4 linked regions of the Tamandua tetradactyla genome follow. The protein of the gene in region 3 purifies or fractionates together with the protein of the main gene of each other region. This does not show direct contact. Links are inferred from orthologs where the notes say so. Each region holds a gene or a part of one and is shown on either strand. Other genes may lie near its edges. The genes, in order: CPSF4, CPSF2, SYMPK and CSTF2.

The links.
Region 1: the proteins of SYMPK (region 3) and CPSF4 purify together in Homo sapiens (affinity purification with mass spectrometry; 4 studies listed by BioGRID and IntAct, counting the BioPlex papers as one, with this or other methods). This does not show direct contact. The link is inferred for Tamandua tetradactyla from reciprocal best matches to the Homo sapiens genes SYMPK and CPSF4.
Region 2: the proteins of SYMPK (region 3) and CPSF2 purify together in Homo sapiens (co-immunoprecipitation; 8 studies listed by BioGRID and IntAct, with this or other methods). This does not show direct contact. The link is inferred for Tamandua tetradactyla from reciprocal best matches to the Homo sapiens genes SYMPK and CPSF2.
Region 4: the proteins of SYMPK (region 3) and CSTF2 purify together in Homo sapiens (affinity purification with mass spectrometry; 4 studies listed by BioGRID and IntAct, with this or other methods). This does not show direct contact. The link is inferred for Tamandua tetradactyla from reciprocal best matches to the Homo sapiens genes SYMPK and CSTF2.

What each region holds. Positions count from the first base shown.
Region 1 is NC_135349.1:7,459,558-7,466,589, forward strand, and holds the start of CPSF4 (cleavage and polyadenylation specificity factor subunit 4), read left to right. Parts: upstream 1-4,027; 5' UTR 4,028-4,138; coding exon 4,139-4,241; intron 4,242-7,032. Other genes in the region: PTCD1 (pentatricopeptide repeat-containing protein 1, mitochondrial), read right to left, coding at 1,549-2,010. UniProt on the Homo sapiens protein: Component of the cleavage and polyadenylation specificity factor (CPSF) complex that play a key role in pre-mRNA 3'-end formation, recognizing the AAUAAA signal sequence and interacting with poly(A) polymerase and other factors to bring about cleavage and poly(A) addition.
Region 2 is NC_135338.1:52,975,877-52,983,031, forward strand, and holds the start of CPSF2 (cleavage and polyadenylation specificity factor subunit 2), read left to right. Parts: upstream 1-4,144; 5' UTR 4,145-4,319; intron 4,320-4,916; exon of another isoform or gene 4,917-6,173; intron 6,174-6,185; exon of another isoform or gene 6,186-6,301; intron 6,302-6,475; 5' UTR 6,476-6,506; coding exon 6,507-6,655; intron 6,656-7,155. UniProt on the Homo sapiens protein: Component of the cleavage and polyadenylation specificity factor (CPSF) complex that play a key role in pre-mRNA 3'-end formation, recognizing the AAUAAA signal sequence and interacting with poly(A) polymerase and other factors to bring about cleavage and poly(A) addition.
Region 3 is NC_135342.1:15,201,799-15,209,006, forward strand, and holds the start of SYMPK (symplekin), read left to right. Parts: upstream 1-4,198; 5' UTR 4,199-4,318; intron 4,319-6,501; exon of another isoform or gene 6,502-6,590; intron 6,591-7,208. Other genes in the region: FOXA3 (hepatocyte nuclear factor 3-gamma), read right to left, coding at 3,189-3,257. UniProt on the Homo sapiens protein: Scaffold protein that functions as a component of a multimolecular complex involved in histone mRNA 3'-end processing. Specific component of the tight junction (TJ) plaque, but might not be an exclusively junctional component. May have a house-keeping rule.
Region 4 is NC_135353.1:72,974,997-72,982,481, reverse strand, and holds the start of CSTF2 (cleavage stimulation factor subunit 2), read left to right. Parts: upstream 1-4,467; 5' UTR 4,468-4,537; coding exon 4,538-4,595; intron 4,596-5,595; coding exon 5,596-5,674; intron 5,675-6,017; coding exon 6,018-6,187; intron 6,188-6,890; coding exon 6,891-7,027; intron 7,028-7,485. UniProt on the Homo sapiens protein: One of the multiple factors required for polyadenylation and 3'-end cleavage of mammalian pre-mRNAs. This subunit is directly involved in the binding to pre-mRNAs.

The sequences.
Region 1 (7,032 bases), on a different chromosome or scaffold from region 3:
GAGATTCAGAGAGAACAGAATGGTGTAGCCATGAGATGCAGAGAGTCCACAAGCCAGCAACCTTTGGAGATGAAGAAGGAAATGCCTCCCAGGGAGCTTCACGAAATAGGAAGCCAGAAGAGAAAGCTAGGAGATGATGCCGTATTCACCATGTGCCCTTCCAGCCGAGAGAGAAGCCCTGACTGTGTTCGCCATGTGCCATCTCACTTGAGAGAGAAACCCTGAACTTCATCAGCCTTCTTGAACCAAGGTATCTTTCCCTGGATGCCTTTGATTGGACATTTCTATAGACTTGTTTTAATTGGGACATTTTCTCGGCCTTACATCTGTAAACTAGCAACTCATAAAATTTCCCTTTTTAAAAGCCATTCTGTTTCTGGTATACTGCATTCCAGCAGCTAGCAAACTAGAACAGAGTGCCAGAAGGAGAGTCTTGGGATTCAGTTTTAGACACAATGGCCAAACAACCTTGGCCAAAAGGTAAGATGTGAACAAAGATCTGAAGGAAAGAGGGACTGGCCTGTGGAAAGGCCCTGAGGCAGATGCATGACTAGGAGTTGCAGGAGTAGAGAGGAGCCAGGTGACTGCAGCAGGAAAGAATGGGAGGTGACAAGGGGGAGTGGGTGACAGGGGGAGACCCTGCAGGCAACCCTGGCTTCCCTGTGTTTACTTCCTAACAATTCATTATAGAAAATATCAAATCTACGTAAAAGGAGAGAGAATAACAAACCCACTCCCCACATACACATCACTCAACTACAAAAAAGATTACTGCTCCAGCCAACCTACTTCCATCTACACCCCACACTCTCCCCCAGAGTGGTATTTTTTTTTTATGTCCATAAACTCTTCAAAGTATATCTCTAAGAGATTTTCAAACATCAATGCCACTAACACCACCTAAGAAAATGAACAATGTTATGCCACTGATAAATCATGGGTTTTGGAGAGAGGAGTCATCTGATCCGTTTTATGCTCCCACAGGACAGTTCTATGCTGTGAACTGACCGTGGGGCAGAAGGTGGCAAACGGGCAGCATGGGGACGTGGGGCAGTGACAGGCTGTGATGGCTGAGGAGGGTGAGAAGGCCAAACTTGGGCGCTGAAGGTTGTGAGAAATGGGTTTTCCAGTGACAACTAAGAGGTAGAAAGGGCAAGAGAGAAGAGTTATGGACTACCTAGAGGCATCTGGCCTGATCAAATGGAATAATGGGGTTGCCATTTAGTGAGATGAAGAAAGTGTGTGGGAAAACAAGGTGGAGAACAGAAGTTTGGGGTTTGGATTTAAGCTGCTTACATGGAAAAAGGGTAAGGAAGATAATGCAGCAGCTGGATACACAGAAAGAGTCCAGGGGAAGCCGGGGCTGGAGATACGAATCCAAAAACTGCAATATGGGGGCACATGCGCATCCCCTGGGGTGAGTGAAGACAGAGATGAGTCCTGAAGATGCCAACATTTAGGGACTGGAAGATGGGGTGGCCCCTCTCAAAACACTGAGCAGACAGGGATGCGGGAGCAAGAAGCAACAGAATGCAAAGATCCCCTCACCTTTCCTTCCTTTATCAGGTGTTTGCACTGAAGGAAGTACCAGTAAGGGGTGTTTCTCGGGCGCCACCGTGATTTTGGCCCCAGCTCCCTCTCCTCATCTTCCTCAATGCCCTGTTCCCGGAGGTGTAGGTTGTACAACTCGGCTGTCGATTTGCGGAACATTTTCCGGGAGGAGTATTTGTTGGAGAGGGTCCCAAAGCTCTCCTCCTCCTCTTCCTCCTGAGTGGCTGTGGGGCTGGGCTGGCTCGGGTTAGAGCTGAGGCCGCCCATGTTCTTCTGGCTCCCCTGGCTAAGGGGCAGCTGAGAGGAGCTGTTGAAAGCCACTGGAATCAGCTGAGTGGGCCAGGTAGACCCCTCCCTTCTTTCTGCCCACTTGACTCTGTGAGGGTGGAGATGCTGCCGGACAGCCAGCCGCACAGGGTGGAAACCAGAGAAGTGTCGGGCAAGTCTTACAAGGTCCATCTCTGGCTTTCCCCGTTCTCCAGGCCTGGAAGAGACTGGTAGTCATAAAAGGTAGAATAAAAGAGAAGTGGTTACAAGGGTGGGCTCTGAGGTAAGATATCCTGGGTTCAAGTTTCAGCTCTGTCAAATGACCATCTGTGTGTCCCCAGGCCCTTGCTGCTCTGGCCTCAGTCTCCTCACCTGTAAACTGGGGTTAAATGTCTCCATGCAGGACTGTGGCAATAATTGAATGAGGTCTCCCACACAAGCAATGCTGGCACAGTAAGCACGTGTTAGCTATGAGCTCTTATCATTATCAAATCCCAACATGATCAGCACCATGGGTGCTGAAGTCAGAGTTGAGGAGTGCTGGCTGTGTGACAGGCCAATTACATGACTTTCCTGGGCCTTGATTTCTTCAGCTGTCAGGATTAGATGAGGTGTTTTCAGCATAATGCCTGGTGTTCAATAGGAGCTCAAAAAGTAATAGCTGCTATAATACATTATCAAGAAAAAACTGGTTGGCTCTCTGGGCCTCTGCACAGGGAAGCTAACTCAAGCATTTCCTCTCTACAAAATTCATGGACATACGAGCTAGAGCTGTGCTAACCAGTACAGCAGCCACTGAGCACATGAGATGCAGCTAGTGTGGGTAGAGATGTGCTGTGAGTACAGAATATACACCAGATTTCAAAGACTTGGCACAAAAGAGAATGTGAGATACACCCACAGATAACTTTCACTTGTCAAAATGACAATGTTTTGGATATGCTGGATTAAGTAAACTACATTATTGACATTAATTTCACGGATTCCTTTTACTTTAATGTAGCAACTTAAAATTATGTTTCTATCAAACAGTGATGGGCTAGAAATTCCAGCCTGAACACTTTAAATCTCTTCAATGAAAAATATCACAACTAGCATGAACATATTTTAAGGTCTGGTTATATTAGAAAGTCAATGTTAGAAAGAACTGATGGCAGAGTAAACAGATTAAGAATTGAGACCCACAGATAGTGTGACTGCCTGGGGTCCCACAGCTGTGTAGGAAGCCAGCTGGGCCCCAATCCAGGCTAGCTTTGAATCCAGGTGCATATAATGTATTAGACCACCTCTCTTAACCACTTGCAAGGACGTTAACTTGCCATCTAGTGAGGCCTGAGTCACCTCAGTAGCATGTGTTTACAAGTGTTAATTAAAATACACAGTTTCCAAAAAAAAGACAATGATATCAAATTAGTATCAAACGTCCTAAAAAAAAAAATAAGCTTTTGGTAAATATATTGGTAAATAAGCTTTTTTTTTAACGGGTTAAATAACTAGATCTATTGAAATTTTCAGGGTACTGATGAGGGTAAACAGTAGCTGGAGATATCTACAACTGCAAGGTGATAGGAAAAGCCCTGGCCTTTCTAATTTTAACCATGTCTCAAGCACTGCTCAGACTACTGTGATTTGCTGCCTCCAACTATGCAAGGAAACACTCAACTTCATATGGAGAAAGTAAAAGAGTAATTTCCTTCCTATTTAAGTCCTAATACCTGCACTGGAGACGCGGTGCCGCGGCCCTGCCTCCCTGGGACTCTCAGGCCACACGACCCCTTTCCTACTGGCCTTTACGCCCGGGTCTGCTGGTCGGGCGGCCCCGGCTCCGACGCTCGCTGCCCGTCTCCGCCCCGGCCCCGAGCTTCGGTGAGATTCAAGTAGGAGCTCACAGGAAGAGCACGCCGCGTCGCGCTCAGTACAAGGTGCCCGGGCCCCGCGTGGCCGCGGCCGCGAACCTGACCCTCTTTCGCGGTCACGGTCCCCGAGGCGAGCGCCTCAGCCGGGCCTCGCGCAGGCGCAGCCGCGTTGCGAACTCCCACCGCGCGCGTGGTTTCGCGTTCCCGGCGCCCGCGTGGCGAGGCGCGAGTTCGGCTGGCTGCTAGCCGGGCCCACAGAGCGACCAGAGTTCCGCGCTCGATTGGCCGGGTCTGGGCAGGCGAAAGGGCCGGCGCGGGCTCCGGGCGCTCCCGGCATCCCTCGGGCGGCGGCGGCGGCGGCGGCGGCGTAGAGGAGGAGCGTGTGCGGAGGGACCGGCGGCAGGTAGAGGGGAGAGGGGGCGAGAGACCTGAGGGGGTCCCGGGCCGGGAGGGCCGCCGCCGCCATGCAGGAAATCATCGCCAGCGTGGACCACATCAAGTTCGACTTGGAGATCGCGGTGGAGCAGCAGCTCGGGGCGCAGCCGCTGCCCTTCCCCGGCATGGACAGTGAGTGCGGGGCCCGGGCCGGGGCCGGCGGGCGAGAACGACTGGGACCCAGGACCCCGCTCCCTCGGCCCAGGGAGCCCCTCCCCCTTGGACCGGGGACTCTTCCCCTGCTCCGGTCGCGGAAACCCACTCGGACCCGGGAGTCCCCCTTCCTCGGGCCTTCCATCCCCCTGTGCTATTCTAATTTTCAAGAAGTTAGAATCTTGCTGGTCTGTTCAAGTAATTCTTGAATGAAGACGGGTTCCCCTGGCTTGGAAGTCCCTCCAGTGTTCCCTGAACTACTGGAAAGTACTAGGATATCGCCCTTCTCCCGCCCCCCATGCCTAGCGCCCTCTTCTTGCTTTTCCTCAGAACTGTGGGCTGTTAGTGAGGAAAGAACCACCTCACCCTCTCCTACAGACAGACGCCCCCCAAACAGTCTCTATTCTACGGCTCGCACTCCTGGGAACGCATCTCTAGTTCTGGGCCTGCCTCTGTCTTTCCTCTGGACCCCAACTCTGGGTCATTCATCCCTCCCAGGCGCCTGGTATGGATTGCACTCTCTGCCTGGTTAGTCTGAGTTGGCTTCCCCTTCACGTGCTGATTCCAGACTCTCCCAAATGCCACCACCCCGCCCTCTCAGGTGGGATATCTTGCACTGTAAAAGAAATTGACAATTCCTTCCTATCTTTTCCCCTTTCTAGACAGTTTGGAAATGTAATGCTAGGGTTTTTCGAGGTCACTGAGCTCAGTCAACAGATGGGGAACCAGATGGGGAGAGGGACTTACCCAAGACCCCTCAGTGCATTGCAGTTAGGGGAGCTCTCCAGTGTTCTTAACCTGTTCTTTCTGCAGTAGCCCAAGCTGTCTCCCTTAACTGCCAGAGGACTGCAGCCTGTATTCACCAACTTGTCCCCAGGCCATAGGGGTCCCTGCAGTCTCACTCCCTTCATGTGGCCACGCCTTCTCACGCCCACTCGGAACAGAAGGTGACCTCTGAGTTAGAGACCCCCGTGCTGCTATTTCTATGCAAGATAGTATTTCTACCCAAGACACCTATGTCAGACAGCTCCATTTTATATGCACACAAATCCTCTCACTGCTGAACACCTCTTACAAGCAGCCACTCAAATGCAAATACACACTCTTAACCTGCCCTTTGATACATGTGATCACTTTGTGCTTGCACATGCATATTCACTCTTGCACACACTGCCTTTTCCTGTCTTAATGGCACTAGCTTGAAACTATGGAACCACCCATGAGGGACAGCTCTTTCCCTCCCACCCTAGCACTATGGACCCATGAGCCTGTGAGCACAGCACAGTGGCGAGTTACCTATATATCTGTCCTTAGGTGTTGCCCCAGTCCGGGTTCTCACACTCACTGCTTTTACAGGATCGTCCTCAGTGTGTTAAAGTGCCGTGTAAACACCCAATGAGGCCACAGCCCTTCTTCACTCCACCCTGCATGTCATTCCCATCTCAGTTTTGAGAACTGTCAGTTCTGCCTTAAGGTTGTCCCACTGTCTCTAAGTCCCCAAAACTGTAGATTTCTGGCTTTAAGGACCAAGCACCCTTAACCTTTGAAGAGAACAATAGGCCCAGAAATACTCTGTTCTAGTTTGCTAGCTGCCGGAATGCAATATACCAGAAATGGAATGGCTTTTAAAAAGGGGAATTTAATAAGTTGCTAGTTTACAGTTTCAAGGCTGAGATAATGTCCCAGTTAAAGCAAGTCTATAGAAATGTCCAATCAAAGGCATCCAGGGAAAGATGCCTTGGTTCAAGAAGGCTGATGAAGTTCAGAGTTTCTCAAGTGAGAAGGCACATGGCGAACACAGTCAGTGCTTCTCTCTCAGCTGGTAGGGCACATGGCGAACACTGCGTCATCTGCTAGCTTTCTCTCCTGGCTTCCTGTTTCATGAAGCTCCCCGGGAGGCATTTTCCTTCTTCATCTCCAAAGGTTGCTGGCTGGTGGACTCTCTGCTTCTCATGGCTATGTCATTCTCAGCTCTTTCAGAAATTTCTTTCTCCAAAATGTTTCCTCTTTTATAGGATTCTAGTAAACTAATCAAGACCCACCCAAATGGGTGGAGACATGCCTCCACCTAATCCAGCTAAACAACCACTCTTGATTAAATCACATCTCCGGGGGGGATGATCTAATTACAGTTTCAAACATACAGTGCTGAACAGGGATTAGAAGAAACGGCTGCCTTTACAAAATGGAATTCGGATTAAAACAGGGCTTTTCTAGGGTACATACATTCTTTCAAACCAGCACATAGTCTTAACTGAGACATTTTTAAATGTCATACTTTTCAGACTCTTTTTGAAAGGCAAATGAAGTGACTTCCCATGCCTCCCAGTTTCTGCAACCTTAAGTCTGTCCCAGGAAAATCTGCATGCTTCCAAGGAAGCCAAGAGATCCATTGTAAATTAGGGAGGAAAGACACAGAAGTGGGCTTCAGTGATGCTGTCAGTGGGTTTTCAGCAATTCAAGAATGCTGGCTGATAGAGAAAGTGCTTTAAGAAGCCAAGGCTGGTTTATTCCGGTAGCTGTGGTTGGCAAATTCCTGGGCTCATCAGAAGTGTTGGGTCCTGGAGTTCGCTGACTTCCATCCCACTCTGCCTTTGTTCTCTGCTCCCCTCTCCTGATCTGACTGCATTTATGGAAATGAAGGACTGTGTGCCTTTAATAATCACGTTTATGATGCATATAAAAGCAGTCCTGCTTTTGGAACACCCCCACTTCTGCTTTGGAGCTGTCCCTGCTCAGAGTCCTCATTCACTTGTCTGTCTTTCCTATG
Region 2 (7,155 bases), on a different chromosome or scaffold from region 3:
AGCCCTACTTATTCAGTCAGTAAAGAGGAAATTTTTCCACGTATGCCAATATTTTTGCAGTATAGATATTTATATCATCAAATCTGTGTAGATATAATCTAAATTTTATTAACTCTAATGTGTCAATGCAATTACCTTAATTTAGAATTTGGAATCTCTGCTTTATATATTAGGTAGGCTCTTTATTACTATCTCTTGAATTGAAAACACATTCCCATATAGGGTCAAGTAACCGTTGTGTAGTAAGGTACTTAAAAATGGAAAGGACACACAGCCTAGTTGTGCTGGTTTGAAAGGATATATGCCCCTTAAGAAAAGCCATGTTTTAATATAAATCCCATTTCATAAAGGTAGAATAATCTCTATTCAATACTGTATGTTTGAAACTGTAATGAGATCATCTCCCTGGTTGATGTGATTTAGTCAAGAATGGTTGTTAAACTGGATTAAGGGATGACATGTCTCCACCCATTTGAGTGGGTCTTGATTAGTTTCTGAAGTCCTATAAAAGAGGAAACATTTTGGAGAAACAGATTCAGAGAAATTCAGAGAGAGCAGAGAATGCTGCAGCACCACCAAGCAGAGTCCACCAGCCAGCGACCCTTCGAGATGAAGAAGGACAACACCTCCCGGGGAGGTTCATGAAACAGGAAGCCAGGAGACAAAGCTAGCAGATGATGCTGCATTCGCCATGTGCCCTTTCAGCCAAGAGAGAAGCCCTGACTGTGTTCGCCATGTGCTGTCTCACTTGAGAGAGAAACCCTGAACTTCACTGGCCTTCTTGAACCAAGGTATCTTTCCCTGGATGCCCTTGATTGGACATTTCTATAGACTTGTTTTAATTGGGACATTTTCTCGGCCTTAGAATTGTAAACTAGCAACTTATTAAATTCCCCTTTTTAAAAGCCATTGTTTCTGGTATATTGCATTCCAGCAGCTAGCAAACTAGAACACTAGTTTTACCACAATCTTTAGAATCTGGAAATTTGGGACAGATGTATTTCCATTCCATTTTAACAATATTCCTTCTATTATACTACCTTGAATTTTGCATGTGTGAATATACTAAGATAAGTTGCAATAAAAAAGACTTGATTGAGCAAAAACAAACAAAAAAATGGTTAGGACTCAGTGTGCTGGGGAATATAGCTGAAATTCCTGCCTCTCTCTTCTAAAAGAGTGGTTTTTAAATAATTTTTTTTTTTTTTACATGGGCAGGCACTGGGAATCAAACCCGGGTCCTCTGGCATGGCAGGCAAGCATTCTTGCCTGCTGAGCTACCGTGGCCCGCCCTCTAAATAATTTTAATTCTTTCGTTTCTTAAACTTCAATCAAACACTCTTTATATACCAGGCCATGAAGTTAAAAGTCACACAATCACTATATATTATACGAAGTGTATTTCTAATTATTTCCTGGATGACTGAAGCAAATAGTTCTTCGACAATATCTATGCTATCTTATTTCCCACAAGATGGTGGTTCTTTCAGCTTTGTGCCTTTGTTAAGTAGCATTATTTACATTTAGATCTTTAAGTACTTTTTGTGACTACTGACCAAGTGCCTACCAATTGCTTACTGTCTCAGACACTTACATGCTTTATGAATTCTGAGACAGTCAAATATGGGGATAACATGTACCACCTTAATCAAGTAATATAAAGTAACTTTGAAAGTGATAAACTGCAAATTACTAAAAAATAGTATAGGCCTTTACAGAGGCTGAGTAGCCATCTATTCTGTTTCATCTGTATCAGGCTCTTCAACTTTCTTAGGAGATGTCTGTTCCACCTTATGTCTGGCTGACAACCAACCACAAAAACATACTTGCTGACCCCAAGCCCAAGACTGTTTCAAATAATCCCATGGCCACCTGTGGGCTATGAGCCATTAGCGTTGGCATTCTTCCAACAAGGCCAGCGCTAAGGAGTTGGTTTTGTCTAACCCTACCCTGAACAGAAGAGATTAGAGACACTTCTGCATATAGGCTCTTATAAAAAGCAAAGGTAGAATCAGAATCCAAACCTGGTCTCAACCAACACCAAGAAGCATAATTCCACCCCTAAGAAATAAATGACAACTCTTAGTCCCACAGGCATTTCACACTATCATTGTACAATCCATCATTTAGTGGACTTTGGAAGCAGTGGTACAACTTACACTGTATTTTTACTGACAGTGGGTGACCTGGGAGGACAAAGATTTATGGATATAAGAAGTGCGGTAGAATGATTTCCGAGAATGGACAGAAGGATAGAAGGGCTCTCAGGCTCTTGGGGATAAGTCATTGGCCCCAAAACATAGGTGAGTTTTATCTGATAAGAAAGGGCAGTGAGGACTAGGGTCAGGCTTCAGTCAAATGAGCCTAAGTTTTGGATGAAAGAAGAGTGTGCAGGAGGCACTTAAGGAAGGAGTAAAGACCAGTTGCTCTAGACATGGGTGTCCACAAGAGAGATGTACATGCACTTTTACTAATTTGCAACCTGCCATTCTGTCACATATCTACATTAAGATATAACGTCAGACACAGGCCTATGTAACTCCTTTTATTTATCCTTAAAGATGCTATTAAGGCCAATGTACAATACATTAATGTCTTCTTTACATGAGGACCCTCAAGAAAGATTGTGCTTTCACTTCAGAAATGGGAGAACAGGTTTTTACCTTATGGACTCTAGGAATCATGTTAACTGATCAAGATCGGAAATGTTTCTGCTGTCCTCTAACAACAGCTGAGTTTTTTATAGCACCCTCTTATCCAGCACCCTATTGCTTTTCATAAACATCCATTAATTTAATCCTCACAACACTATGTATGTGTTAACCAATATAACATCCCCAATGCATTTTTTTTTTCAGATGCGGAAATCCAGGGATAATTATGATAAAGTCATTTGTCCAGTTTCAAAGATATGGTAAACGGAAGAGATAGCATTAGTAACCAGGCAGTCTGGCTCTCTGGTCCGAGCAATTTTCTTGTGCTTTACTGCCTCTCATAGTAAGTCCATAGTAAACATTTATATTAACCTCACTATTGGCTTTATATTTTTTCCCCTAATATTACTTATTCTTCAACCCAATTTATTCCAGTTAGGTCCTAAAACGATTCTTTATATCTGCTATTATTTTTGTAAGTCACTCCGAGTTCACGTTTGAAAGATATAATTATATTTAAATACTTAAAAAAATTCTTTCTAATTGGTCTCCATGGCTCTTTATATGCACTGTCCCAAAAATGCCGATTTAACCTATAAAGAAACAATGCTGGATGCACGAAGGATCAAACTCCTTGAGGTATACACATCCTAAAAACCATGCACAAATAAAATATTGTATTGTTTTGTCTTGTTTTTAAGCAAAAGAGTACATATCTTGCGGAACGGTCGGCGCAGGAGGGCTTGAGATTTAGAAGAATGAAGTTAGCTTCCAATCCTAACTAATGAGGACACGGAATGCTGAATCTTGGACGAATCTGAAATGCTCGCGGATAAGCAGCCCCATGCATCCCTTCCTGAGTCTCGGTTTCCTCCCAGTCCGGTGAGGGGCAGTCACCGGGTATCTCGAAAGACTTTTTGCAATTATGGCAGCCTCAGATACCTTTTCCTGACAGTTCCAGGAGGGAAAGGTGAACCCAGTAGTCCACCAGAAGAAAACGCTAGTTCCCTCTCCTCTTTCCCGGCTCCCACGCTCGAAGGCCTCTGGAAGTTCGGCCGCTTCAGCCCCGGGGCGATCTATCACCAGATCCATCACCGCCGAGGGCTTTTATAGAGATGAACCCCGTACCCCACCTCCACACCCGCCTGCACAACTTGACCCGGCGGGCCTCAGCGCCCTGAACCCCAGAACTCACCAGCCGCCGCGGAGCCAACCACGACCCCACGACCAAGGACAGCTGTGAGCTCAGCCACCGGCGCCGACGGAAGCTGCGGCCTCGGGACTCGTCAGGAAGAGAGGGGTGACGCCGGGAAGTCGTACGTCTTTCTTTTAATATGTGAATCTTCTCGTTCTTGTTTTAGCTCGAAAACGACATAAATGTTTTTAAAATAAAACGTCAGTCCAAGGTGAGGAGACTTGTGCGTGGAAATGCCATCTCCTTCCCTCAGCTTCGTGTTCCTTGTCCCCAGAAGATGGTATCACCCTGGGTCTTCTCCGCCTTGGCGGGTCGCCTGTAGTTTCAAAATGGCGGCCTCCACTGCGGGTCTTCTGCCTGCCGATCGTCGCGGGTACTGCTGAGTGAACGTCAATTTTCCTCGCTCTTGAACCGGGACTCGACGAGGGGTTGGGAAGGGCAGTGGACGGCGTTGGGGGAGGACTGATGAGGCAAGTGGGGGCGGAAGAAAAGAGTGAGCCCCTGGATGGGGGAGGGGGCTTCCTAGGAGTTCAGGAAGAGCCTGGCTCCAACACAGACACAGCCTCCTCTCCTGGGGACAAGCTCTGGGGTTTCGTTGTGCCGGTCTTGGTCGTTCCTGGCCGAAATGCTCAGCGAGGGAAAGAAAAACGTCTTCTTCATGGGTCTAAAATTCTTGGCTCTTTTGGCAATCTGTACGGTTCACTCCCATGCTCCTTTCCTCCTTGCTGTATTCCTCTCCCCTTTCATTCTGTTGGCACTGGAGGAGTTAATCTGACTCCAGCTTTAGTTCCTACGTCTCTTGGCTGCGTTTTTCTCCATGTCCCTTTTAGCCTCCTCGCCCGAAGTCGCCCGTCGACACCGGTTGAAAGACCGCGAATCTACTAAGCACTGGGCACAAAGTAGGCGTCTTTGTAGTTAATTGACTCCAAAGACCTTTAGGATGTTATCACGCTTTGTTAAAAAAGTCTTTCTCCTCCCCCCGCCCCCGCGTCCTGTCTCCCTAGCCCCCAAGCCCTTCCACCATCACTGCAGTTTCACCAGATCTCATTCTCTTTGACTTTATGCTATTTTATATGCTCTGCAGAAAACCGGAGGTCTGACTGGATGTAAACCTTGGCAGGTCTGGCCTGTGACCGGGCGAACCCGAGTTATCACTTGCCCGTACTCTATAATGCTTTTATTTTACAACCCCTTTGGCTCTGTTATGAAACCTCTGCTCCCCTGAAACTAGTCAGTAATAGACTTTGGCACCTAGTTAGTTCCAGTGCTTTCCCAGACTCCGTTTTTACCTAGATTTTGCCTAGTTTTCTTTACTTTGTCATCAACAAGCATGATCATTGCTGAGAGAGCCAGTAACTGTGACAAATATTTGAAATGAAGTAGTGTTGGTCAAAATCACTGCCCTGAAGGAATTTGAGCACTGTGTTTGGTCTTGAAATGGCATACAAAGATTAACTATAATACGTGCTTTTATATTGTCAATTTCTAGTCAACAGTTTTCTGTGTGTATGTGCCCACTTTGTGCGAGGCAAAAATAACTAGCTTTGGGGACACTGAAAAAAGTTTTAAAAGGAGTTAATATTTGAACTGGGTCATGAAAGGTCAAAAGAAATTTGCTAAGCTCAAGAGGCGGTCATGAAGAGGTGACAAATACACAGATGCAGACTTGAGAAGTTTTGGTGTACATAGGGAGAGTGAGAAAATAAATGTGCTTAAGCACACAGGGCAGGGATTGTAGGTGAAGCAAAGGATAGATTGAGATAAACTTGTGAAGGGGCTTGATTTCCCACTAAGGGGTTTACATTTCATTCAGTAGTCAACAGGAAAGCCATTGGTTATTTTGTGCAAAGTGGGGGCATGAGAATATTTGATTCTTAGGATGGTCTTTCTGACTGCTGTTATCGAGGATCAACTTGGAACATGAAAACTAGATGAGGAAATTAAAATCATTCAGGTAAGGTAATGAGTGTCTTGATTGAGGTAGGACAGTAAGGATGTAAAACATTTCTGAAATGTCAACAAGTATTCAACTAGTGATGACCAAATTGATGATAGGAGAGCAATTCCAGAATTTTAGTCTGGGAGACTAAATGGGTACTGATACTGTTAAAATCAAGTGTAAGCCGTGTGTTAAAATAGAATGGTGCCAACCTGCACTTAGGAGTGACAGCATAGAGCTCTAAAATCTAAAGCATTGATTTTAGAATCTAGAGTCTAGCTTAAATGATCTAGTCTCTGTTCTAGCTCTTCATACATTATATCAAAGCTTCCAACATTACTTTTACGTATGCATTACTTATCTGGTTTTTAGACCAAATATATAGGTGAGAAAAGGTTAATTAACTTGTCTTAAACCACAACAGAGTAAATTCAACTCTGTATCTCTGATTCCCAAGTCCACTTAATTTACACTAAACCACACCAGGAGCCAAAAAAGAACATATCAACAAAGGTATGTTTGCATTTTAAAGTTAGCAATGATGGCAATTGGACTTTAAAATGTTTGTTTTCTATGTTGATGGGATTTTTGTGCACTTAAAAACCTGATCTAATTTTTGTTCACTGTCTATTATATATATTCAGTTGCATTCTTATGCTTAATTTTAGTTTCTTTTTCTTTTAAAAGAACCTTTTAGATTGTTGCTAGTGGACAAAAAATGACATCTATTATCAAATTAACTACCCTCTCTGGGGTCCAAGAAGAATCAGCTCTTTGCTATCTTCTCCAAGTTGATGAATTTAGATTTTTACTGGACTGTGGTTGGGATGAACACTTTTCTATGGATATTATAGATTCCCTGAGGAAGTAAGTTACTTTTACTGTTCATATTTCTGGACTTTTAAATTAACTTCTCTTATCTATACTGCAGTACTAATTTGAAGTTACGATGTTTGCTTTTCTACTATGATTTATTTTATTTATAATAAAGGACTTAATTTTCTTATGTTGAAGTGAACATTTTAATTTCCAAAGTTTTGTGTGACTTACTAAGTGTGTTTATTGAAATTCAGCAGAATCTTAAGATAATTGTTATTTGGCTGATGGATCACTCAGTAAAAATTCTGCGTGCTAATTTTAGATAAGAGCAAGAGTTTGAGGAGAGGAAAAGCTTTCCATGTGAAAATTCTGCAGTCAGATCACATTTAACCTATTTTCTATATCTTTTGATGCTAGAATTGGTGGTCAGAATGCCTTGTGAGATGCAAAAGGATCCTAATTCATCAAATAAAATTTCATTTATGTTCCCATTATTATGTTAATTACAGAAGGAAAGAGGACTTAAACATTTTTAAAAGCTTAGAACT
Region 3 (7,208 bases):
GAATCTTAGCACTATAAAGTATAATAGATACTTCTCTCTCTCTCTCTAAATAACCCTCTATATATTCTTTCTTCTTAATCAACAAAGGGTTCTTGGCCACTGCTCTGCCAGTTACTTTGCTGGGGCTGTCTCCTTTAATCTTCCTTATATCTTGAGGGAAGGCTGCTTTTATAATCCCATTTTATAGTTGAGGAAGCTGAGGTCCAGGGGCAGAATTGGGATTCTGAATCTAGGCAGCCTGGTTCCAGAACTTGTGATCTGTATCATGCTATAAAAGCAGTGACCAAGACAGACAGAAATGTCTGCCTTCTTGGAGTTGATAGTCTGGCGGGAAAGACACACTGAATAAGTTAAACCTGGAGAATATGAAGTATCTCACGTGGTGGTTTCTCTCTTTCGGCAGCTATCCACCCCTCTCACCTCCTCCCTTCCATCTACTCTCCCCCCTCCTCCACCTGCATCTTTCTCTGCCCCGCTCCCTTCCCCAGGGAGCCTGGGAGGGAGGTGGTCCCACCACTGGCTGGAGTCCCATGGCACTGGGGTGCTGTGAAATCTCTGGCTGATGCCACCTTTGCTGTGAGACTGTGGATCTCATCTCATCCTCTGCACTGTAAGCATTTGCAGGCCCCCAGGGTCAAAAAGAAAAAAGACTTGCCCAGGACCATTCAGGGAGTCAGAGATAGGTGACACCCAACCCCAGTTGAGAGGAAACCCTCCCTTCTCTCCTTCCCACTTCCAGGTTGCTGTTATCTCTTGTGTTTGTCTGTATGTCTTCCCACTGGGGCGGCTGGTTCTGCCCCCTCCCCAGATTAAGGAAAGAGATGAAAGGAGAAGGTGATGGATTCAATGGGATCAGAAAGTTGGGGAAGGATTCCCAAATGCCTTTCCCACTCTCACTTCTCCCAACTCAGTCGAGCTGTCTGGTATTGCAGAGTAAAACAGAGTAGGACCCCAGGGCACTCCTTTCCTGGCTCCCCACCCAGCCGGAAGTCCTTCTGGAGGTCTGACCTCAAGCACTCCAGCTGCTCTAATCCACCCTAGGCTTTCCCACGCCCCAGGGCAGGGATGAACCCCCAGTGTCCGGGTCTGAGCCGGATCTCCCTGCCACCAGGGCGGGGTTGAGATTGGGGGGAAGCCCTCCGGGGACCTGCACCCCCTCTCCAGGAGGCTGGAATTTCTCACCTTTCATTTCCTTATTGTCTCTGGGGGAGGGTATGACAAAGAGCAGAGGGAGGTAGTGTGAAATCAGAAAGAAGCCTGGTATCCAGCCCCAGTCCTAGCCCTGACATCACAGTATTCCTCTAGGCTTGGGTTTTTCCATCTCTAAAATGGGGGACCAGTTGGACCATCTGATCAGTAAGAACCTGAGGTTAACAGGGATACCCCAGGGTGACAATTGTCCAAGTTCTCTCCTGATGAATGGACAGCCTGGGGTGTCAACATTATCCTAACAAGAGGGTATAGTGCTGGGTGTGTGCAGCTGTTTCTCCACCCCCATGGTTCTGACCCAGAGAAGAACTGGGCTCACCTGATGGAAGGGCTGCAGACACCCACAGACAGTATCCTCCAAACAAATTCCAGGCCCCTGTAAGTCAATTCTTTCAAGATATGCCCTCAAGTGTTGATCTGATTCCTATTTTGAACACCTCTAGACTGTTCTTTGATTTTGGAATCATCTATTGTCCATACACATTGTCCCTTAAACTTGAATCCATTCAGATTGAAGCCCAAATTTTGACTCCTCCGGTCCAGAAACCCATGAGTTTTTTTAAATGTGCCCACAAAACATTTATTTGTAGGTGGTTTCCTTGAACCATGTCCCCAGACTCAGCTCTCCAGGGGTCCAACTGGGATACCCCTTCACTGCACCCCCCTCACACTGTCCAAGAGCCTCCACCTTCCATCCTAGTCTCTGTTTTCCCCATTTCACAACTGACACCTCTGGCCGCCCTGCCTCCCCCTCTCAGCCATCCCAATCCCTTCCCCAGCTGGCCCTTCCTCACCCTGCGTGCACCTCACCCTCCACAGCCCCAGGATTGGGCCCTCCCAGGTCCCTGGCTAACCTTCGCAGGCCAGGGGATCCAGGAATCCCAACCTACAGTGTCAAACTCCAGACCCAGGGATAAGGCACACCAGGGATCCTGTAACCTCAGGTTTCAGCTCTTTCCTTGGAGAAACCAGCCATTCCAACCACATAGTCCCCTTTCAGGTTAGGAACCCAAGACTCCAGACTCCCATAACTCTCACACCACGACCTCCTCCTCCAGACCAAACAATATTGACTATAAAGAAAGTGTGCTAAGGAGTCCTTGAGCAAGTGGAATGGGAGTTCAACTTGGGGAAGGACTTCCTGTCAGCTGGAATCCCCCATCCCCAAATTCATCTCAGAGGTCTTGTCTGAGATGGGACTGGATGAGAACCTTAACAATTGCTGGAGATTGCTGGGGATGGGGGTTTAACCTGAAGGCCCCCAAGAGGGGAGTCCCGGCTGAGGGTGTCTAATAAGAGTTAAAGTACTAAAATTCAGCCAGGACGGGGTGAGGATCATGAAGAGGAATAGGGGGAGGAGACTGTATTTCCCACTACCCCCACTAGTGCTGATGCCCACATCTCCTAGTCTCTAACCTGCCTATTATCTCAGACCCCTCCACATTGAAGCTTCATCTCTGAGTGCCTCCATCTCTTACCCTGGAGCGCCAAGCCCTATACCTGACCCTATCTTAGAGGGCCCAGAACCCCCATCTTTAACACCATATTCTAACCCTCAGCTCATTCCTCACTCCCCTCTCACAGCTGCACTGGCTTCCAGTTCCTTGATGACAACACTTACACTCTTTTAGTCCCTATATTTCCCTCAACTTTGAGCCCCATTTCCAACCTCCCAGCTCTGTCCCCTATCTTAGAGCTCTGATTCCTATTTTGGGTTTGTTGACTTTGGATCCCGAATACCCAGCCCTCACGTTTAAGCTAAGACCAGATCCTTGTCAAACTTTTCTCGACTCCCATTTAAGCCCTCACCCCCCAACTCGCCTGTCCAGACCGTTTACTCACGCTCTGTCCCTGCCTCCCACACCTGGTCTTCGTGTCCCTGGTTCCACGGCTCCCAAACTACATGCCTCGGCCCCCATTTGAGCCCCAACCCGGGTCTCTAACCCTCACTTCCCGCTCCACCATCCCCGAGGACACACCTCGCCCGCCTCGGGGTAGTAGCTCCACTCGGCCAGGTCGTGGGCTTCCATCTTCACCGAGCCCAGCATCCCCGGGGCTTGCGCCCCCACCTGCCCCCGCTCGGGCCCCGGGGAACCGAGAACTTCGGAGCTATCAGCGGATATGGCGGGAGTTCCGACCGGCGCCCGCCCGTCTGACCGCCCGGGGTCCCCGCCGTCCCGAACGCGCCGCTGGAGGTGGCCTCGCTTTATAGCCGGGACAACCCCCCCCCGTACCGCCCCCACCCCCGCCGTTCGCCCGCCCCAGGCTCCCCTCCCGCCTCCCCAGGACGGCGCGCTCGGACTAGGGCGCCCCCTGCGGGATTGAGAGGACCTCAGGCGCCGGGAGCCGCAGCCGGGGGCGCGAGAGCAGGTGAAGGCTGAGGAGTGAGCTACTGGTGACAGGCATTGCTGATAGGAAGGGTCCCGAAGGCAGAACTCTGGGGCCCTACTGCACCAGGGGTTTTCATTATCTCGACATGAAAGGGCGAATAGCCAGAAACTCGCGTGGCAGTCCCGGAGGAAGGGGGCGCAGCGTCCAGGGGTCCCTATATACGATTGTAAGGACCCTTAAGAGTCCTTGAAACCACACTCCCAATGGACGAAGGGTAGATTGGGGCTGCCGACGACTGGAAATGCTCCGGTCTGTGTAAAACGTCCAGGCCAAAGATGGAGGAAATAGGGATCTCTTTTCAAATCCCTCTAGGGCAACAGACCACCTTCAACACCTAGGGAGCTTCGCCTTCGGGGCTCTCCACTCCCCGCGACACTAGCCGTCCAAGGACTCAGGACCACCGTGAACTCCATTTCCCAGAAGCCTCTTCCCCCCTTTCCGCCCCGAGCCTCCGCCACGGGACTACATTTCCCAGAAGGTATGTCTCTCCGAGACAGGAAATGAGGGGCCGTCCCGGCGAATGCCGGAGGGAGGCGGAAGTCCGAGGGCGCCGCACGAGACAGGGGCAGACACGGGCCGCGGTCTGGACTGCATTTCCCGGCGGCCCTGCGTGCGCAGCGCGTGCGCAGTGTCACGGCGGCGAACGGAAGATGGCGGTAGCGAAGTCTGTGTGAGGCGCTGCTGAGGGGCCGCGAGGGGGACTGAGGCCGGAGCCGCGGTGAGCGGGGAACGGCGTGGGGACCCGGGGACGATGGGAGGAGGGACTCTGAGAACACTGGGAGAAGGGCGCAGAGAAGAGAGGGGAGCAGGGCGTCCCGGACCTCAGTATCATCCCCTGCTCAGGACCCTTCCGTGGTTCCCCAGTGCCCTCAGGGCAAAGTTCCAACGTGGCCCCCAAGGAGCGTCCGCTCCGCCAACCGCGCCAGTCTTGTCTCTGCCTCTTTGCTCACTCCCCACGCTTTGAAAGCTGCACTGGCCTGTCGGTTCCTCAAATTTGCTGTGCGCCTCCCTAAGGGTTTTTGCATTTGCTGCCTGTCTGCCCTTAACATCCTTTTACCCATTCATATAAGCTAACTCCCATTCATCCTTCAGCCAACATCACTTCCTCTGAAAAGCCTCCTTTTCTCGCTCCCCGCCCTCCAATCCTGTTAAAGGATCTCATAGGTCCTTGGTCATTTCCTTCATGTCACGTGTGTTATTAGACCTTTATTTAAGTAACTACTGATGATGTTTGTGTCCGTGAGCTCCACGAGGGCAGAGACAGGGTATATTTAGGTCACCCGTGTGTACCCAGCACAGCTCAGGTCGCACGAGAGACGCTGAGTAATGTTTGCTGAATGAATGAAAGATATACCGTGGGCCACTCTGTGGCGTGTACGGGGAAGCCCTCATACTCCCAGATGGGAGTAGGGCAGTGGTACTCGGTGAGGACTGCACTGGAAGGGAGGGGGAAGCAATGATGTGGGTAGAGGAGGAGATTCACTGTGTTCTGCTAGGTGGATGGGTGGCCATGGCCCTGGGTTTTTGTGAGCTGACCTAGGGATGGAGAACCAATTCCTTTCTGAGAGACAGCGCTGATGAGGACGGATTCTGCAGCTACACTGCTGGCTCTTCTTCACTTTACAGGCTGTGTGCCTTTAGTCAAGCGATTTTATCTCCTTGACCTTCAGTTTCCCCATGTGTAGGATGGAGATTAAAATAGAACCTACCACAGAGGGTTGTTTTTTTGTGTGAGGTTTAAACTAATTAACAGACATCACTTCCAACAACTGTTGAAAAATTGGGCCCTGCATGTTAAATGTTCAATAAATAACAGCTGTTACTATTTTTCAAGCGTTCCAGGGCCGAAGGGCAGGGGATGTGAGCCCACTGATTGGGAATACTCTTTGATAGGAGTCAGCATTCACTGAACAGATATTTATTGAGTACTTACTGGATGCCAGGCATTGTTTTACATGCCAGGGATATAGAAAATGAGCAAACCGACCAAAAAGAAAAAAAGTATCTCCAGCCACTTGAATTTCAACAAGCATGCCAAGGACATGCTGTGGGGAAAGAATAGTCTCTTCAACAAATGGTACTGGGAAAACTAGGTGTTCACATTCAGTATAATGAAGTTGGACTCCCTACCTCATGCCTTAGACAAAAACAAATCTAAAATATATCTAGGACCTAAATGTAAGAGCTAAAACCATAAAACTCTTAGAAGATAACATGGGACAAATCTTCCCAACTTTGGATTCCACAGTGGTGTCAGATAGAACACCAAACACACGTGTGACAGAAGAAACAATAATTTTTCATCAAAATGAAAAAATTTTTGCTTCTTAGGACATTGTCAAGAAAGTGAAAAGACATCCTACAGAACAGGAGGAAGTAGTCACAAATATATATGATGAGGACTAAATATCCAGAATATATAAAGAACTCTTACAACTCTACCACAAAAAAAGAGACAAACAGCCCAATTTAAAAATGGACGAAGGACTTATACATTTTACCAAAGAGAATGTAAAAATGGGCAATAAACATGAAAAATGCTGAGCATTTTTAGCTATTAGAGAAATGCAAATCAAAATAGCAACAAGGATGGCTATTACTAAAAATGTGGAAAATAACTTGAGAAATTGTAATCCTAATACATTGTTGGTCGTAGTGTAAAATGGTGCAGCTACTGTGGAAACCAGTATAGCTGTTCCTCAGAAAGCTGAATTAAAATTAACCATATGACTTGGCAATTCCACTCTTAGGTATATACCTGAAAGAATTAAAAGCAGGGATTCAAGCAGGTGTTTCTACACCAGTGTTCATCACATTATTCACAGTGGCCAAAAGGTGGTAGCAATCCAAAGTGTCCATCAGTGGATGAATGGATAATGGAAATCTGATCTCTCCATACAGTGGAATATTATTCAGCTGTAAAAGGAATGAAATTCCAATACATGGCACAACATGGATGAACCTTGAAAATGCCAAATGAAATAAGCAAGGCACGTAAGGACAAATCCTGTATAATTTCATTTATATGAAATATGTAGAAATGGCAAATTCATAGAGACAGAAAGTAGATTAGAAGTTACCAGGGTGTGGAGTGGGGGGCGGTGATGTTTGGAAATTTTGAAAAAATAGAAAAGCCTTTGCCCTCATGGAAGTTTTAAATATGTAGTATATTGATAATAAAGCCTATGGGGAAAAGTAAAGCAACACAGGGAAGTAGGAAAAGTGAACTGAAATTTGAAACAGGGTAGTCAGGGAAGACCTCACTGAAAATATTTGAGTGGAGACCTGAAGAAAATGAGGAAGGGGGTTCGGATCTGGGGGGAGGAGAGTGTTCATGGTATAAGGAAAAGAAGCACCAAGGCATTGAGGAATGGATGTGCTTGGCATGTTCGGGGAATAGCAAGGAGGCGAGAATGGCTGGAGCTGAGAGGACAGAGTGGGAAATGAGGGCAGAGATTGGAGGGACCAGATCATATAAGGTCTTTTAGGTCTTGGTGGGGATTTTGGCTTTGACTCTGAGCAAGATGTGGGGGTGACAGGCAGCAAGGAGGGTAAGGAGGAGGCTGTCATTTTCATTCAGAAAACATCTATTGAATAGCTCATGTCTA
Region 4 (7,485 bases), on a different chromosome or scaffold from region 3:
CGAAAGAGAAACCACACAATTCAAAACTCCAAGCCAATTGGGAGTCTTTATTAGCCGGCCGGCGACTGCCTCAGAAACCGCCAAGAAAGAAGATTCAGAGAGCAGCCGCCCAGAGGTTTTCAAGGTGTGCTTATAAAGGCTAAAGTCATGTTGTGGTTTGCAGTTGCTGGCAAGGAAGTGTAATCACAGAAGCAGAAAAATGCCATTAGCTGTTGCCAAAATACATCCCGTGCCCTCAGTTTCCTAACATTGGTCATTGTTTAATTCTTGGGGACATTCCATCCCAGATCTTTGAGGACTTTTCCTGCTCGGGCCTGAATGATTGCTCCTGGCCCTCCACAATCTCCTCTACCCAGAAGAAAGAACCTGAGTCTCTGTACCCTCAAAATTTTGAAGTCTTTGCTTGTTTCTTTATCCAAGATTATCAATACCAAGACTGAGTAAGAATTCAGGACTTTTCCTCAAAACTTTATTCCAATGCCACACAAATCTTGTCTATGGTTTCCCAAATCCTTTCATTCTCCACTAAGTACCCATTCTCTTCTGCTCAAAGCCCCCAAATAACATCCATTCTATATATTTAGTCCCATTTATGTAGAAATGTATCTTTCTTAGTTTCCCTGTACCTCTTTATACTGCACTTGTACTGTTGTACTGAGGCTCAGTCATAATACTTACAATCACATCCAGTGTACTACCTTCAGTTTTCATTTTTCTATAACCTGGAGGCAAAAGAAATGCTGTCACTCAGGGAGCATCTTGATGAAGGGAGAAAACTCTCATAGACAGGCACTGAGGTCATGAGCACAAGGCCTGTAAGTGAACGAAAAATTAAAAAAGCAAAAGCCTGCAATATATCCTTTGCACACACCACCTCTTCTATAACTAAAAGAATGGGGTTGGTTACTGAAGAGAAAGAACCAATAGTCCATTCTTCACAGATGGCTGATAATAGCAGAACAAACCCTGCTCAAGTGTCTTGACCTTTCCTTGGATGGGTCTTTATTGTGAGCCACCAACCCACCATCACCAGGTCATATGCTCTAATCTCTTTCCCCAAAACAGTAATATGTTAAACTATCCATATTGTCATGCTGGGAGGCAATAGATACAGCAGTTAAACATTCAGTCTCTGGAGCCAGAGCAACTTGAGTTCAAATCATGCCTTAGCTACTTATTGTGGGACCTATTGCAAGTTGCTTAATCTTCTATAATTATAAATAGTCTATCAATAAAATGCTGTGATAGGCAGAATTCCAAGATGGTCCCCCAGAATTCCTGGCTCGCTGGTGTAAATGCTCTATAAAATTACTATGACTGCAAATACGAAGATTTTACTTTCCTGGTTAGGTTATGTTACATAGCACAGCTGACCTCAATACAGGGAGATTATCAAGGTGAGCCTGATCCTATCAAAAGCCCTTTCAAAGCAGAGTTTTCTCTGACTGGCCATAGAAGTCAGATTCAAAGTACTAAAAGGATTTGACAGCCATTGCTAGCTCTGAAATGCAGACGCTCACATACAAAGACCAAAAACAGGCTCTAGGAGCTAGCTGAGGCAGCATGGAAACAAGGACCTCAGTCCTACAACTACAAAGATTTGAATTCTGTGAACAACAAAGAGCTTGGAAGCTGATTCTTCCTGAGAGTTCAAATAAGAGCCCTACATCTTTTTTTGTTTTGTTTTGTTTTGTTGTTGCTGTGGTTTTATTAATAAAACCAATCAACATACAATATGAACATTCTGTTTTTCATCACATAGTTGTATATTCATCATTATGATCATTTCTCAGAACATTTGCATCACTTCAGAAAAAGAAATAAAAAGAAAACAAAGAAATTCATACATATCTTACCCCTTACCCCTTCCTTTCATTGATCACTAGCATTTCAATCTAAATATATTTTAACATTTGTTCCCCCTATTATTCATCTTTATTCCGTATGTTTTACTCATCTGTTGATAAGGTAGATAAAAGAAGCATCAGACACAAGGTTTTCACAATCACACAGTCACATTGCAAAAGCTATATCACTGTACAATCATCTTCAAGAAACATGGCTATTGGAACACAGCTCTACATTTTCAGGCAGTTTTCTCCAGCCTCTCTGTTACACCTTAACTAAAAAGGTGATATCTATTTAATGCATAAGAATAACCTCCAGGATAATATCTCGACTCTGTTTGTAATCTCTCAGCTGTTGATGCTTTATTTTGTCTCATTTCACTCTTCTCCCTTTTGGTCAAGAAGATTTTCTCAATCCCTTGATGCTGAGTTCCAGCTCATTCTAGGATTTCCGTCCCACGTTACCAGGAAGGTTTACACCCCTGGGAGTCATGTTCCACCTAGAGAGGAGGGGGGCAGTGAGCTTGCTTGTGGTGTTGGCTGAAAGAGGCCACAACTGAGCAACAAAAGAGGTTCTCTTGGGGGTGACTCTTAGGTTTAATTTTAAGTAGGCTTAGCCTATCCTTTGCGTGGTTAAGTTTCATATGAACAAACCCCAGGATTGGGGAGAGCCTTACATTTTGACTTCAACCTTCTGAGACCCTAAACAGCGAACCCAGTCAAGCCTAAACGGACTTCTAACATACAAAACTATGAGCTAACAAATGAGCGTTATTTTAAGCAGCTAAATTTGTGGTACTTTGTAACACAACAATAGAAAACCAATACAATAGAGACATAGCAAATGCTCAATAAATGTTCATTTTTTTACTACGGATTCATTGGGATCAGTCACAGAGCCGTGAGAAGACTAAAATGTAAGTTATCTATGCAAGACTGGCAATCCAGAGGCCATTTAGTCTCATATTGCTGATACTAACAAGGGTACTAAAATTGCACTGTTTCTCAAGCGGAGAAACGTTATTAGCATTTAGTGGAGAGAGGGATTCACTGTATAGAACTGCTCTGGATATTGCAATATATTTATGACCTCTGGCTGCTTTCTCCCTCCAAAAAAGCGTCCCCCCACTAACGGCAATAACTAAAAACATTCCCATACATTTCCAAATACCCTCCCCAACAAGGGATGGTTCTGGGTCTACTACTGCAGAAAATTTTATAACAAAGCACAACTGTCATAAATGTTGCCATAAAAGTAGTACCTCAATATACAATGTTGCACAAATTGTCTGACCCTAAGAATCACCCGGGGTACTTGTTTTAAAATAAGGTTCCTCCCTGTAATCTTATTCCACAGGTTTGGGGTGGAGCCCTAGGAATCTCTATTCTTAGTAAAGCACCCCAGGTAAATCTTTTTCATGGATGTTTGGGAAACACTAGATTAGAAATATATTCTGCCATAAATGCATTTTTCAAAACTTTAGCACACTAGGAAAATTGACTCACTCCAAGGCTCTTTAAATCTGTCTTTTACAGAGCTGTAAACCTAGTTTTGGATTATTCTATTACAAAGGTGTTCTCTTGGTCACACAAAATTGAAAATGGGACCCAAAGTTATGGAAGTGGGAGAACTCTTCCAAAACTTTCTAAATTTATCAGAATCGCTACTTGAAACGACGCGGTAAATGGTGTGAAGGCGCACTTTTCCAACTATTTCTCTTCCTTCAAGCAAGGACCTACACACATACACAAACACTCCTAATATATGTTATTAATTTTAAAAGCATATGTCTCAAATTCTGTAGATATTTTACCAGCTCTCCCTTCCTTTTCTGAGACAGAAAATTCATCAAAGCAATCTTGACTCCTTCCTTTTTTTCTCTCCTAACTCCATTCTCTTCAGTTACCCTCCTGTGGATTTCCTCCGACCCAGACAGGTTTTGTCTTCCTGTGGGGTGGCAACGACTAGTCCTGCAAGCCATATTTCAGGAGTTTTCGGGAACCAGAGATCAGCCAGTGATGTTTTCCGTTCTGTTTCCAAAACTCTACTGCCAAAGTCCTTCGCCTGCCCCCACCCCCCATCAAGCACGTGGAGCTACGAGAGCGCAGACTGTTCTCACTTCACCTTCCCATCTCCTGATCTATCCTGGTGCCCTGACGGTGAATGCCCTTGATTCTCATTTTCTTGCCGGACAAAACTATCTCTCCTCACCTCACTGCAGATACAGCTTCAGCAAAATCACAGTGTGCCTGCCGCTGAGGCGGGAGCAAACATTTCCTTCTCTCAATCAGGCGGAACTAAAATGAAATTTCCCTGGTATTGGCAAAGGACTTCCCTGACACCGTGGTAAAGCCGCTGACGCCATTTTTATTGCGGGCAAAGATTACTTGCGTCAGCGAAGGAGAAAATTAATAATAACAGGAACTTCTACGAACTAAAAGCCTTCAAATTAGCCTGGATCCGGCTCAGAAGGGAGTTATTACTAGGCGACAGTCTTCGCGGAGGGAGTTTTGCTCTTGTAGGCTTAACACGCTCCTACGGCGACGAAACGTCGCACAGGGAAGGGATCTTGCCTGCATCCGGCCTAGGCGCTTCCGGTTCTTGCGCCGTACGGAAGCATAGTCAACTCTGAGTTCACGCGCCGTACGGAAGTGTGCTGCAGCGCACCGGAAGCCGCCGGAAGAGAGCCATGGCGGGTTTGACTGTACGAGATCCTGCGGTGGACCGTTCGCTACGTTCTGTGTTTGGTGAGGGAATTCATTGGAGCCAGGCATCGGGGAGGTGCAGAAAGTGGCAGAGGGCGGCGAGGAACACCCCCAGCACCTCATGAATCGCCGCAAGAGCCGGTGATGGGTCGGTCATAGAGCTCCACCTGTCCCTGTGGGACGGCAAACCTGGTGGACTCGTGGGCAGAGATGCTCCTCTTTCCCCGAGGTCCCGCAACCTTTCTGCGATGTTGTTAGATGAGCGTTGAGCTTCTGTGCGTTTCTCCTTTAATGAACTTAAATTATTTATCTAGAAGCGAGGATGCATAGCGACAGTCTCATTGTCCAATACTACTTCTCATCCCCTATCCCAGAATACACATTACATGCTGAGTGGTATCCCTATGTCCACTTCCCGCCTTCTCATAAGGGCTTTCATCCTCCGCTTCTAACGATAACATTTTAGTTCATCGATGGTGGTAGCGGCCACCTGGCGTCTTGAGGCGGACTATAAATGAATGAATGAACGAGTAAGAGCTCAAAGAGGATCGAATGTATTCTGAGAAATTTTTTCGGCCGAAATAAGTCTTTCTTCAAAGTTATGAGTGGTGATTTTAAAGCACCTTTTGAAAGAGTGGCGAAACAGTTCAGAATAATGTTTAAACATTTTTGGTCATTCTCCCGTGTGTTTATGAATGTGGAAATACGAACAGTTGAGCCTGTTTGAAAAAATATAATATTGATATTTTTAGTAGCTATTGGGTGGGGGATCAGATTGCAGACCTTCAGGTAAACACTTATGCTAAGTATTTTCACCAAAGTTAAGGAAATTTTAAAACTTGTCAGATCAGTTAGAACTAATACTTAGGAGTACCTACACCTTTTGTATTTAGTGTCCTTAGCGATTTTTTTTACCTTGTCAAGAGTACGTGGTACTGGAATTTGGGGAACACTGTATTCATTGAAGTAGATTCTTTATAGTGTTTACTTTCTCACTAACTATCATGGTTACAAAGATAGAATTTTAATCTTTCTTTCTTAGTGGGAAACATTCCTTATGAAGCCACTGAAGAGCAGTTAAAGGACATCTTTTCTGAGGTTGGACCTGTTGTTAGTTTCAGGTGAGGGCCCCTTTTATTTCTTGGTGGGAAGGTTCTTAAAAATTGCCACAAATTTCACCCTTAGAAAAAATGGCAAGTTGTTTTACTGGTGACTTTTCATGTGTATTTTTTCTGTTAACAGCTTTATTGATATAATTAATATACCATGTAATTTGATGCATGCTTTCCTAAAAGATATGTGTATTTTTTAATTTAAAAAGAAAGTTAAAAAAGATTTCAGTGAAGCAAAGTCAGAATTATTAAATTTTATCCTTTAGTGAGCCAAATTAGAACATGAAAATGTTAGCAAGAACCCTGTATGTGTACATAACATGTGTGTTCAATACTTGGTTCTGCTCTCTAGGTTGGTATATGATAGGGAAACAGGAAAACCAAAGGGTTATGGCTTCTGTGAATACCAAGACCAGGAGACAGCCCTTAGTGCGATGCGGAACCTGAATGGACGTGAGTTCAGTGGAAGAGCACTTCGAGTGGACAATGCTGCTAGTGAGAAGAACAAGGAAGAGCTAAAGAGTGAGTATAAACCCAAGTTGTATGCAGGATGAGTTTATAAGATATTACAATGAAGATTTTTCTGTTTATGGTATATTCTAGAATATGCTGAAATGGTTAGCCACACAGTTTCTTTACTTGATCAATCTGAGATACCTAAATTAGGGATGTGTGTATCTTTGAGAAACAAGCTAAAGTTGACTTTGGAAGTCCTTCAGTTGCCAAGGAGTTGATTTCCAGTTGAAGATGAATTTAATTCAGGCACACTAAGCCATCAGTAGTGCTAACCATGTTGTTAGTGCTTGCTACTCCTTATTACCATGTTGCCAAATCTGTAATTGATGGGGTACTAAGGCATTTTTATGGCTTTTTTCATGAAGTGATAGATGCAGAAATTCCATTTTGAAATGAGCATCTTTTTCTGTTTAAACCTTTTGCCTCTGAAATGTTCTGTCAAAAGAAGTTGATATGCCTAGGTTCCTAACCTAGGTTAACATTGTCTGTCTTTGTGATCCTGTTCTCAGCTTTCCTCTGAGAGCAGAAAATACACTTTGTCACTTTCTCCATAGAAATAAGAGACTTGCAAATTAACTATTTCTCAGCTCTAGAGAATGTTAAAGTTATTGAATAGTCCTTACAGCAGCCCTGGAATGTAGATATTTGAAATGATTTAGCCCTTTATTTTGTCTCTTTAACTTTCTCCTTGTACTTTCTTCCTCATCAGGCCTTGGCACTGGTGCTCCTGTCATTGAGTCACCTTATGGAGAGACCATCAGTCCTGAAGATGCTCCTGAGTCCATTAGCAAAGCAGTTGCCAGTCTTCCACCAGAACAGATGTTTGAGCTGATGAAACAAATGAAGGTGGGAGGAGGCAATAGGTTATGAATAAATCAGATCCTCTCAGATTTTTAAGGAGTAATTAATAAACTTAGTGGAAATGATTCCCACATCTTAAAAGAATATAACTTATGAGAAGAGCTTAATTGAACACCGTAAGTACATGGAACCTTGAGTAGGGCATGACATTTTGTAGGTTTGTCCAGAGTGATGCCCCGATAAAGCCCAGAGTGATTTGAACAGTGAATAAAGAAGTATTTGCCAAGTCCCCTTGGGGGAATGGTGAGAAAGGGGGAAAATTCAACTTCCCCAAGTGGAGAATTCTTAATATTCTCACAAGCAGTGAGGACAACCAAAGCAATAGGCTGAGCCCCCAATCTTGGGGTTTGTTCGTATGAAATTTAACCCCGCAAAGGATAGGCTAAGCCTACTTAAAATTAGGCCTAAGAGTCACCCCCAAGAGAACCTCTTCCGTTGCTCAG